2 linked regions of the Oryctolagus cuniculus genome follow. The protein of the gene in region 2 binds, or shares a complex with, the protein of the main gene of each other region. Links are inferred from orthologs where the notes say so. Each region holds a gene or a part of one and is shown on either strand. Other genes may lie near its edges.

Evidence for each region. Proteins that work in one complex are often made in the same cells at the same time.
Region 1: the proteins of PDHA1 (region 2) and PDHB are in contact, whole or in part, in a crystal structure (PDB 3EXE), measured with the Homo sapiens proteins. The link is inferred for Oryctolagus cuniculus from reciprocal best matches to the Homo sapiens genes PDHA1 and PDHB. Residues at the interface, in NP_000275.1 of Homo sapiens: Ile87, Arg88, Gly89, Phe90, Glu137, Leu138, Thr139, Gly140, Gly148, Lys149, Gly150, Gly151, Met153, His154, Asn164, Gly165, Ile166, Val167, Gly197, Ala198, Asn200, Gln201, Gln203, Gly228, Met229, Gly230, Thr231, Arg235, Ala236, Asp296; in NP_000916.2 of Homo sapiens: Glu59, Gln62, Tyr63, Ala66, Asp84, Pro86, Ile87, Ser88, Glu89, Met111, Phe115, Gln118, Ala152, Gly153, Val154, Ala155, Ala156, Gln157, His158, Pro297, Val323, Arg324, Val325, Thr326, Gly327, Ala328, Asp329, Val330, Met332, Pro333.

The regions. Positions count from the first base shown.
Region 1 is NC_091441.1:91,557,418-91,562,530, reverse strand, and holds part of PDHB (pyruvate dehydrogenase E1 component subunit beta, mitochondrial), read right to left. Parts: intron 4,287-5,113; coding exon 4,179-4,286; intron 4,094-4,178; coding exon 4,031-4,093; intron 3,930-4,030; coding exon 3,894-3,929; intron 3,779-3,893; coding exon 3,493-3,778; intron 2,466-3,492; coding exon 2,355-2,465; intron 2,034-2,354; coding exon 1,942-2,033; intron 897-1,941; coding exon 755-896; intron 117-754; coding exon 1-116. UniProt on the Homo sapiens protein: The pyruvate dehydrogenase complex catalyzes the overall conversion of pyruvate to acetyl-CoA and CO(2), and thereby links the glycolytic pathway to the tricarboxylic cycle.
Region 2 is NC_091453.1:5,375,157-5,382,210, reverse strand, and holds the start of PDHA1 (pyruvate dehydrogenase E1 component subunit alpha, somatic form, mitochondrial), read right to left. Parts: upstream 4,275-7,054; 5' UTR 4,139-4,274; coding exon 4,082-4,138; intron 1-4,081. UniProt on the Homo sapiens protein: The pyruvate dehydrogenase complex catalyzes the overall conversion of pyruvate to acetyl-CoA and CO(2), and thereby links the glycolytic pathway to the tricarboxylic cycle.

The sequences.
Region 1 (5,113 bases), on a different chromosome or scaffold from region 2:
TATGATGTCTTTGACCTGAGGTATAGAGTTGTCTTCTAGAATCTTTGCATAAGGCATAGGGACGTCAGCACCAGTGACACGAACAGCAGGTGCATCCAGGAAATTGAATGCAGGACCTAGGAGAGAAGGAAGACGCAACTGAGGTGGGCAGGAAAAAGCAGCCGAGCACTCGCACGCTGGCAAAAATGGCTGCGCAGGAAGAAAAAGCATAAGGTAAAATAATACTTGTTTTGGGAAAGACTTTCTGTTTTTTTTTTGTTTTGTTTTTTTTTTTTTTTTTGACAGAGTGGATAGTGAGAGAGACAGAGAGAAAGGTCTTCCTTTTGCCGTTGGTTCACCCTCCAATGGCCGCCACGGCTGGCGCGCTGCAGCCGGCGCATCGCACTGATCTGATGGCAGGAGCCAGGTGCTTCTCCTGGTCTCCCATGGGGTGCAGGGCCCAAGCACTTGAGCCATCCTCCACTGCACTCCCTGGCCACAGCAGAGAGCTGGCCTGGAAGAGGGGCAACCGGGACAGAATCCGGCGCCCCGACCGGGACTAGAACCCGGTGTGCCGGCGCCGCTAGGTGGAGGATTAGCCTATTGAGCCGCGGCGCCGGCCTGGTTTTGTTTTTTAAAATATTAACACCATACAGTAAGTTCAAAGTTCAAGGCATTTGGCTACCCTAGCTTTTTTTCTCTATTCAACACGTGTTCAGGTACACACTGTTTGTTACAGTTTGACCATATTCTAGATCCACTTTCTTTGCAATACCTTCCATGATCCTGGCACAAATTTCAGCTCCTACTCCAAACTGTGGCCAGCCTCCTTCCACTGTTACCAGATGATTTGTCTTCATGACACTGGCTTCTATGGTTTCAATGTCCATTGGTCTGATAGTACGCAGATTTATGACCTAAAGAGGAAATACAATAAATAAGCTTTATAGAGCCACTGCATCACAAATACAAGGGTACTTCAAAAGGTTTGTAGAAGAGGAATTAAAAGATGAGTTTATTTTGGTGTGGAAAAATGCTAAATCCAGGCATACAAGGGATCTTTAAAAAATAGTGCTGGGGGGCCGGCGCAGTGGCTCACTTGGTTAATCCTCCACCTGCAACGCCAGCATCCCATATGAGCACCGGGTTCTAGTCCTGGTTGCTCCTCTTCCAGTCCAGCTCTTTGCTGTGGCCTGGGAGGGCAGTGGAGGATGGCTCAAGTGTTTGGGCCCCTGCACCCACGTGGAAGACCAGGAAGAAGCACCTGGCTCCTGGCTTCGGAAGCTGGGAGCTTCTTTTGAGTTTCACACATGGGAACAGGGGCCCAAGGACTTGGGCCATCCTCCACTGCCTTTTCCAGACACTTTCTGATCCAGGGAGCTGGATCAGAAGTAGAGCAGCTGGAACTCAAACTGGCACCCATATGGGACGCTGGCATCGAAGGCAGTGACTTTATCCACTATACCACAATGCCAGCCCCCGGCTGCTCCTTTTCTGTTCCGGCTCACTACTATGGACTGCGAAAGCAGTAGAAGATGGCCCAAGTCCTTGGGCCCCTGCACCTACATGGGAGACATGGAAGAAGCTCGTGGCTCCTAGCTTTGGATCAGCTCAGCTCTAGCTGTAGCAGCCATTTGGTGAGTGAATCAGTGGATAGAAGGCCTTTCTCTTTCTCTCCTTCTCCCTGTCTGTAATTCTCTTGCAAAAAAAATAATAAAAAAATCTTAAAAAAAAAAAAAAAGAGAGATTGCTCTAAGCATTCAGCCATCATCTGCTCCTCCCAGGGAGCACATCATCAGCAAGCTGGCTGGGAAGTGGAGCCGGCACTCAAAATCCACCGCACCCTGAAATGGAATGTGGGACCCTAAGCAGCGTCTTCATTCCTGAGTCCAATGTACAACCCCTGGCTTCCAAGTTTAAAAGGAGCCTTTCTGATTCTGTAACAGGTGAATGTCCACTTACCTCACATTCAACTCCCTCTTTAGAAAGCACCGTTGCAGCTTCTAAACAGTGGCCCACTGGTCTCGAATGGGCAACCACAGTTATGTGTGTCCCTGAAACAGAGTGGCCACAGGTCAGAGGTCAGGTCAAAAGGAAAGATGCTGCAGCACTCCTGTTTGTGTCAAGTCTTCAAGTCAGCTTCATTTCAGTGAGCTGAGGACTGAGGCAGCCTTCTCAGAAATGAAATACAAATCTACTGGACCCAAATTCAGAAAAGCGCTACTGTGTGAGAAGTCAGGGCATCACACATTCTTTACTTGAACTCTTGTAATTTTTTAATCAGGGTAAAATGTAAGAACATCTAGATGACATTTGACCAATATAAATAGAAGGGCTGGATTTAAAATAATGCTTAAACGTGTCAGTTCTCTTACCTTGTCTTTCTATTTTGGCTTTTCCGATAGGAATCAGAAAATCTTTTGACTGAGCTTCGGCAGGAAGTTCAAAAGGAACTCCGTACATCAGTTCATTCTCTAGCACCACCACTGCAAAGTGTTATACATATTGAAACCAAAGTAAGTAACTCATTACATCCACTGTGAAGGTCAGTGTGCTTTTAAGAAAGCTGTATTTCTATCTTCTCTTTTAAAGGTTTATTTATTGGAAAGTCAGAGTAACACAGAGAGAGAAGGAGAGGCAGAGAGAGAGAGAGAGAGGTCTTCCATCCGCTGGTTCACTCCCCAATTGGCTGCAATGGTCGGAACTGCATTGGATCGGAAACCAGGAGCCAGGAGCCTCTTCTGGGTCTCCCTTGCGGGTGCAGGAGCCCAAGAACTTGGGCCATCTTCTACTTCTTTCCCAGGCCATAGCAGAGCTGGATCAGAAGTGGAGCAGCCAGGACTCGAGCCGGTGCCCATAAGGGATGCCGCCGCTTTATCTGCTACGCCACACACAGCGCCGGCCCCTGTATTTCTATTTTGTCCAGAAGTCTGGATGATGGCCTGAGTACTTAAATATAACTATCTACTGAAGTTAAACCAGTGTTGTAGGTATGCAGTAAATATCTAACTGGCCTCTTCCTAGTCTTAAGAAAAACTAGCAATGGGGCTGGAGCTGTGGCATAGTGGGTAAAGCCGCTGCCTGCAGTACTGGCATCCCATGTGGGCGCTGGTTCGGGACCTGGCTGCTCCACTTCCAGTCCAGTTCTCTGCTATGGCCGGGAAAGCAGCAGAAGATGGCCCAGGTCCTTGGACCCCTGCACTGGCATGGGAGGCCTGGAAGAAGCTTCTGGCTTCGGATTGGCCCAGCTCTGGCCGTTGTGGCCATTTAGGGGGTGAGCCAGTAGATGGAGGATCTCTCTCTCTCTCTCTCTGCCTCTGCCTCTCTGTAGCTCTTTCAAATAAATCCAAAGACAAAGAAAAAACACATTTCTTACTATCTTTACTGCATCTATAAATCTTTAACATTTATACAATATATTTAAGCTTAACTAGAATCCTTAAAGGTCCTTCTATATAAAAATTTCACTTTAGTTTTACTGTTCAAAAGAGACTGACAGCTCACTCTGCTGACCTGGATTGTTATCCCGAATGGCCGATTTTATAAGTCCTTTTGCATCCTCTGAATTCCAGGGGCTGACCACCTTTAAGCCTGGGCAGTGCCCATACCAGGCAGCAAAGCACTGTGAGTGCTGGGCAGCCACACCAGCTGAGGCGCCATTGGGTCCCCTGAAGACTATGGGCACAGGCTGCAGGCCCGCCGACATGTAGTAGGTCTTGGCAGCTGAGTTTATAACCTGGTCAATGGCTTGCATAGAGAAATTGAAGGTCATAAATTCACAAATGGGCCGCAACCCAGCCTGTGAGATCAAAAACATGCATGTTAAAAGACAAGGAACAGCAGAGTGGGAGGCAGTATTTTTAAAACGTCATGTTAAATCTCTTTGGGTGAGCCTCACAGAGACTATTACGTACCATAGCTGCACCCACAGCAATTCCAGCAAAGCCCATCTATAAAGGAAAACACAAAGGAAGTGAACATCAGTAAGACTGAGGCGAGCGAGCACTAACGGACAAGCCCTGCAAGGCCGGCTTCCTGGTAGAAGGCTCACCTCGGAGATGGGAGTGTCTATGATCCTCTTGTCTCCGTATTTCTTCCACAGGCCTCGACTAACCTACAAGAGATGACCGCATTAACTTTCAAGTAGATCTCGGGGCAAATGGTGACCTCAGCGTGCGTCTTTCATATATTTTGGTTACCTTGTATGCCCCGTCATACTGGGCAACTTCTTCCCCAAGGAGAAATACCTTCTCATCTCTTTCCAGCTCCTCATCCATACCTTGGTTGATAGCATCACGAACTGTCACCTGTCGCAAATACAGGAAAGTAGTCAGTAAGCTACAGGATTATTTAGGACACCACTGAGTCTCTTCCTGTATACTCACCTAGGCTGCCCTAAGCCTGGGACATAAAAACACATTGGAACAGGCTTCTCTTTTAAAGTTCAAAGAATTCTAGAAGCAGCGTTTGTGTTATATATACTAGTCTTTGAGAAGTTTGCTGATGTGACAGGCTTTCCTTGATGAGCACCCAAGATTAAGAAAACTACCTACTGGCCAGGTCAGCTCACGGGCGGCTTTCCTGGGGGAAATGCAGGCTGGGTTGTTTTGTTAAGACCCCTGGAGTACTATCAAGGAAACCTAATTCATGCTAAATATTTTTTAAGATTTATTTATTTAGGGCCGGCGCCGCGGCTCACTAGGCTAATCCTCCGCCTTGCGGCGCCGGCACACCGGGTTCTAGTCCCGGTCGGGGCGCGGGAGTCTGTCCCGGTTGCCCCTCTTCCAGGCCAGCTCTCTGCTGTGGCCAGGGAGTGCAGTGGAGGATGGCTCAAGTGCTTGGGCCCTGCACCCCATGGGAGACCAGGATAAGCACCTGGCTCCTGCCATCGGATCAGCATGGTGCGCTGGCCGCATCGGCCATTGGAGGGTGAACCAACGGCAAAAGGAAGACCTTTCTCTCTGTTTCTCTCTCTCACTGTCCACTCTGCCTGTCAAAATATAAAAAATAAATAAATAAAAAGATTAAAAAAAAAAGATTTATTTATTTAAAAGGCAGAGCAACAGAGAGGGAAACAAGGAACCATCCGCTGGGTCACTCCCCAACTGTCCACAATAGCTACGTTTGGGCCAGG
Region 2 (7,054 bases):
TGCATTATTATGAACCTCAAAAAACTAAGAACCACTGATACAGCGGGAAGAAGGAGCAAAGTTAAGAAAGCTAAAAGTCCTATCAGAAGCACAAGTACTGTAACTTTTAACTGAGATTGCTGAAAAGGTTACCATTGATTTTCTCTGGAGAGCTGTCAAACTTTGAGACCATGAGCCATTCATATTTCGGCATATAAAAACTTTTTAAAAATTTATTTATTTGAAAAGCAGTTACATAGAGGCAGAGAAAGAGAGCGAGAGATCGTACATCAGTTGGTTCACTCCTCAAATGGCCACAATGGCCAGAGCTGAGTCCATCTGAAGCCAGGAGCAGCTTCTGGGTCTCCCTCACGGGTGCAGGGGCCCAAGGACTCGGGCCATCTTCCACTGCTTTCCCAGGCCACAGCAGAGAGCTGGATTGGAAGTGGAGCAGCTGGGACTTGAAGCAGCGCCCATATGGGATGCCGGCACTGCAGGCGGTGGTTTTACCCACTACGCCACAGTGCCGGCCCCCAAATAAAAACTTGAGTTCCTAAATACATTAGAAGCATTCAAGTGAAAAACAAGGGGAAAAACATTTCAAAAATTCCAGATTCCACCAATGGCAAATAGAAATCTTACCTATTATTTAAAAAGCCAAAAGAATACTAGGAGTAAAGATCTCCAAGGGTGCCAGTCTTGTTGTGTAGTGGGCTAAGCCGCCACTATGATGCTGGCATCCCATATGGGCACCAGTTCATGTGCCGGCTGCTTCACTTTTGATCCAGCTCCCTGCTAATGACCTGGGGAAAGCAGTGGAAGATGGCCTAAGTGCCTGGGCCCCACAACCCAAGTGGGAGACCTGGAAGAAGGTCCTGGCTCCTGGCTTCAGCCTGGTCCAGCCCCAGCCGTTGAAGCCATCTGGGGAGTGAACCAGCAGATAGAAGATTCTCTCTCCTCAACTCTTTCAAATTAATAAATAAATCTTAAAAAAAAAAAAAAAAAGTATCTCACGTCATTGAGGCCAGTGCTGTGGCAGTGTCAGGCTGACACTTGTTTCAGAATGCCAGTTTGAGTCCTGGCTGATCCAGCACCCTGCTAATAAACCTGGGAAGGCAACGGAAGATGGCCCAAGTGCTCAGGAAACCTGCTACCCACATGGGAGACCTGGATGGAGTTCCCAGCTCTGGTTTCAGCTCAGCCCAGCCCTGGCTGTTGTGGCCATTTGAGGAGAGACTCAATGACTAGCAGTTCTTTCTCTTTCTCTCTCTCTCTCTCTGCCTTTCAAATAAACCTCTTTAAAAAAAAGAAGTCGCAACAAATAAAAACACTAAGACAAAGATTATGATTTTAAATGCAATTCAGTCTTCTATAAGAATTTTTAAAACTATCAATTTAATTCAAAAATAAATCACAAGCTTGTAATTCATTCAAAGTTTCCTGCCAAACATGTCATGATACAATGATAATCGACAAGCCTGAGATAAATCACCATACATCCCTGGTTTTAAGAGGAGAAAAGAAAAAAAAAATGAAAAGGGGAAAAAACAGAGTTCTGGAAGGCAAGATAGGGCACAATGTGGATAAAGTGTCACAACCATCAATCAAACGAACCACTTGACCTTTCTCCATCCCCTCCCTCTCTGAGTATCACACAGATGGTGCAACTCTAGTACCCAATTTGCCTAATTTAGGTTAGTCGCAGTTGATTATTATCAGGATTTTTGAAAGGCTTATTTGCAAAAAATATTTTTACATATATATGAAAGTAAAAACCTTGATTATTTTGTTTTTTATATTTAAATAAAAAGACATCCATAAGTATGAAAAAAATCACAAAATATAGTTATTCTCAGGGGTTGGCCATTTAGCATAGCAGTTAGGATGCTGGTTGGGACACCTGAATCCCACTGTACCCGGGTTCAAGACCCAGCTCCACTCCCAAGTCCAGCTTCCTGCTACATGTACTCTGGGAAGCAGCAGTCATGGCTCAAATAGTTGGGTTCCTGCCAACCACATGGGAGACCTACACTAAGATTCTGGCTCCCGCTCCCGCTGGCTCAGCTCCAGCCATTGCAGATATTGAATGAGCAAACAGAAGATCTCTCTCAGTCCATCTCTGCCTTTCAAATAAAATGTGTAAACCCTGACACATTGGTTTATTACTCCATCCTTTAAAAAGATAAAGGTGAAACATCTGGTCCTTACCATCTTCAGAAGTTTCAGAAATGCCTCCTAGTTGACTAGCACGTGACACGTATAGTCACACAGAAAACTATCTGTAGAGTTTGCACCAAGTGGGAAGCTGCCTGGGTACTTTAGGGTGACCTGACTGCTGGAACTCAATTTTTTTTCCTACTGGAAGGTAGGGGAAAAGAATAAACCTGAGTGCCTAATAATAACGATTTAAGGGTGTTTCTGAGCCCCTAAGTACTGGTACATCTACAAACCGGTATCACCAAAAGGGATGACTTAGAGAAAAGGCAGAAACTCTGCTAGCAAGGTTTGACAGTGGAAACTTTTTATCTATTAGTTTCCAATCGCAATTCAAATTCTTGACACCTCCCAAGTTTAACTTTGAAGTTCCTGGGAAACTGTTTCTTTCCACTAAGTGCGAAGCTTCAATAACAAAGTTTCTACTGCTTTTGCACTTCTAGTCTATCCAATCTCACAGCAGAAAGGAAAGGCCACTTAACTTCTGCAGATAACTAAAGCACTGCACAATGCTGCAAACACGTTTCTACTGCTGTTTTTCCACTAAAAACCAATGCTAGGGGATTCAACGAGATAAAGCTGGGAGGTATCTACTAGTGCCTAGCACATACTGCGAGCTCAAGAAATGGTGGCTGGAGCCTGCGTGTGGGCAGAAAAAAGGAATGCCCCTTGTGCTTCGCCATCAGGTCAATCCCAGTACAATTCCAAGGTCAATACAGTTCTGATCAATCAAATTCTCCTGTAAATCTTAGTAAATGGGATTCCTAGAGGGGTTCAGCCGCTACCTTTTGACAACCTCTGCCCAGACTAGGCACAGCTGCATCGAGTCCTGGGAGAATTACTAGAACCGGAATTACAAGTCAAAGCTTGGCTCTGCAGTTATACCAAGTAACCCCATCTCACTGTGCCCAGAGGTCAAAATGCTAGCAGCTCAGGTGAAAGGCGCATCTGAAAACTGGGGCTGCAAATAGCTTAAGTGCGATTTCCTTTAGCCACCTTTACCCTAAGGGGATGTGTGTACGTCCCCCCCCCCCCGCACTTAAGGGGGGAGAGCAGTTTCCTGTGGGTTCCGCTGGACCGCTTTCCACTGCCAAGAAAAGTTAAGCCGGAGAGGAAGTGGGTTCCTGGGGAGCGTGACCACGTCTAAACCCTCAGACACCCACAAACGTACACCAAACTGGGCGGTCAACACAGAGTACCCACTATGTGCCAGGTGCTAGTCGGAAACGTTTACGCACGCGTCACTCGTAGAATCCTCAGACAACCCCACGAGGTAGGTACCCTCATATACATTTTAGAGATAAGGACACTGGGCGGGGTGGAAGGTGGGGGGGGGGCGTTCAAAACTTGCCCAAGCTCACAGGACTGCTGTTTGAATTCCAGCCAGTTCGTTTCCGGATTCCACGCTCTTTACTAACACCCACTAAAGGACCTCTCAGCCAAGACAAACATTAAGTTAGGGAGAACTGAAATGAGTGGGGTCAAGTGAAGACTCTTACAAGCTTAAGGCACCCCCTCCATACCCTGCAACCAACGGGCACTTTTCGAGCACACCTAATCGCTCCGCGCGGAGCTGGGCTCGGGGAGAGCCGGAGAGTCGTGACCGATCTCCACGCGGACCCGGCAGGGGTTGCCCCCCCTCCCCAGTCGGCCGCCCAGCGCCGTTCCCCCCCGAGACTAGACGCAGAATGCACGGCGTGGAGGCAAAAGCAAAAGCCCGCAGCTCCCCCGGCTCCCCGCCGCATCTTTTACTCAGCGCCCAATCCAAGCAGCGCGTCTAACTGCGAGCCCCGAGGCCCGGCCCGCCCTTCGGCCTCCTCCGGCACCGCCTCGGTCCCGTTCGCGCTCCATCCCGATCCGTCCAGGCCGCTGGCTCGGGCCGCCTCACCGGCTTCTGGGCAGCGCCAGACAACACGCGGGAGACAGCGGCCAGCATCTTCCTCATGGAGCGCAAAGAAGCTGCAACAACGGCGACTCCCAAACTGCCCAAGGGGAACTGCTAAGCCGACCCCAAGTCTCCTTCAGGCGCCCCAGCAGAAGCCACGCCTTAAACGCAACGCGACGTGGCGTCGGAATGACGTCATGCGCCGCGCCGGGCCGCGGGCCAACCAGGACGGCTCCCAGGCTGTGTTCCGCCCACTTGAAAGGCCTGCGACCACCCATTGTGTGTCGGCGCCATGGGGGGCGGAGTTGCGGCTTCCTCGCGTCACCATGCGGCGGGAGAGGGAGGGGTCGACTATCTGAAGGCGCCTGCGTGGGAGAGTGGGTCCCCGCCTCCAGCCTTCTGGTTGGATTCTGCGCAGACGACGGTGGTAGCCTTCAGGCTGGTCCTGACGTGTGGCTGGTCCTGCTGGTGCTGTAACTGCAGCCTTGGCTCTGCACACGAGATGATGAAGATTAGCAGCCTAGCCGGGGCCGAAAGATAGACGGTACAGTCTTTGTAAGTGATTCTGCCACTAACTTGGCTTTAAAAGATCACGTAATACAATCTGGTCTCCCACGTGGTTGGCAGGGATCCAACTACTAGAGCGGAGCCGTCACCTGCTGCCTAGCAGGGTGCGCTCTGCTTTTCAAAGAAAAACAAATAGGTAAAGGATCACATAACAGTTGTAAAATGCTGCTGATTCCCCAACTAAATACTGAGGAGTCAGTGGGAAAAACCTTTTGGCTCTACTTACTGATTCAGAAGCTCAAAGAGAGTTAACAGCAGGACACAGCCAAAGATAAAAGGACACAGAGAAACAGACTCCAAAGCAACTGGGCTCTGTAGAGAGGAGTCAGGGCTCAGAAACCCATCCTGCTGGGCCCTGCTGGAATTGCACCTAAGGTTCTGGGTTCTGAATTGGCTCCATTTAAAGAAGGATAATGACAAAAATGAGTGGCATCCAGAGGATGGCGGTCACAATGATGAGGGGCTTAGACTGTGACTTGCGAGGAATGACTCAAGGAGTTAGGAAGAAACTGGACTGATTTAGAGTGAGCTAGGTTATGTTGCTGTAACACTCAACCCCAAATTTTAGTCTCTTTAAGAACATCAAGTGACTGGCCAGCGCTGCGCCTCACTAGGCTAATCCTCCGCCTTGCGGTGCCGGCACACCCGGTTCTAGTCCCGGTCGGAGCGCCGGATTCTGTCCCGGTTGCCCCTCTTCCAGGCCAGCTCTCTGCTGTGGCCAGGGAGTGCAGTGGAGGATGGCCCAAGTGCTTGGGCCCTGCACCTCATGGGAGACCAGGAGAAGCACCTGGCTCCTGCCTTCGGATCAGCGCAGTGCACCGGCCGCGGCGGCCATTGGAGGGTGAACCAACAGTAAAAGGAAGACCTTTCTCTCTGTCTCTCTCTCTCACTGTCCACTCTGCATGTCAAAAAAAAAAAAAAAAAAAAAAAAACATGAAGTGACTTAGCTTGTTCATACCACAACTTCCACAGCTTGGCTGGGACTGCACTCCATGTCATTTCTCTGGAACCTTGAGTGATGGAGCAACCTCTGTCTGGAACTTAGCTTGTCTCACGGTGAAGGGAAAAGCTGTCACTTCGAATGGCTCTCAGAGCTTCTGCCTGAGATCAGCGTAGTGGTGGAGTGGGCTAAGCCAATGCCTGCGATGCCAGCATCCCATATAACCACCAGCTGAAGTCCCAACTGCTCTGCTTCCAATCCAACTCCCTGGTAATGCACCTAGGAAAGCAGCAGAGGAGCAGAGGATGGCCCGAGTACCAGGATGATGTGTTGGGCTCCTGCCTTCAGCCTGGCCCAGCCCTGGCTGTTGCAGCCATTTACTAACCAGCAGATAGAAGGCCTCCCCTCCTCCTCTGTCACTCACACCTTTCAAATCTTTCTTAAAAAAAAAAAAAAAGAATGATCTAACCCGTAAGACATATTTGTTTGTTTGTTTGTTTGTTTTTAAAAAAAAAGCTTCTGCCAGAAGTAACACATATCACTTCCTCTAATGTGCAGGAGGGAGACCAGAAAATTGGGTGGACAGCAACAGTGTAGAGGACTTGGTACGTCTTCACACTTGTACTTCCATGACCAGGTTGCCACGCGATGAGCGCTCCCTAAAGGCTGAGAGGGACGGGATGGCAGTGAAGCAGGCTGCCCAGCGTGGCCTCCGCAGATGCTGCTGCTGCCAGAATGTGGAAGCTGGAGAAAGGAGAATGAGAAGAGTGCGAGGCCAGATGGCCAGTTTAGAGAAGCCGGCCTGACCGTTTGTGGACCTGCTGGCCTGCAGGCAGTGGTGGGACAGCTCCCCGAAGTTGTCCCCCAGCAAGTGGCAGTTGTAAGTCTAGGACACAAGCTAGAAATATAAATTTGGGAGTCATCTGCATAGAGCTGACATTGGTTGTGTGCGTCCAGGAGCCCTGTCGGCTCTATGCATACACATGCATTCATTCTTGCATTCCTTCAACACCTATTTGTTAGACACCAATTCTGAGTCAGGCATTGGAGTAGGCACAGGGAGGGGGGAAAGAGCAAGGAATAGAGTCCCCAGTCCCACAGAGCTTACAGTCTAGTAGGGGGTTAATAAGTGCACATAAGTATATATTACAGGGGCATATAATGCAGGCAATAAATGGTATGACAAAAATTAAACAAGATAAGGGAATAACAGGAGTGACGTTAGAAGGGCCCCTGTTACCATGTCTTGTCCGTGTCCTGGTTGGGGAACGGCTTCACCTGTCTTGGACTGGTTACTCAGTACAGAAATAAAAAGTCTGAAAGAGAGAGCAAAAGTGGAAGCGAGTGTATCAGTGATAAGCAACAAAAGCACCCCACTTGGATGAGGGCCCCCAGAGCTGGGGGATGGTCTCTTTTATGTTATTTCCTTCTCCCTCTCTCCTTATCTGACATAGGGGCCCTTCACCTAG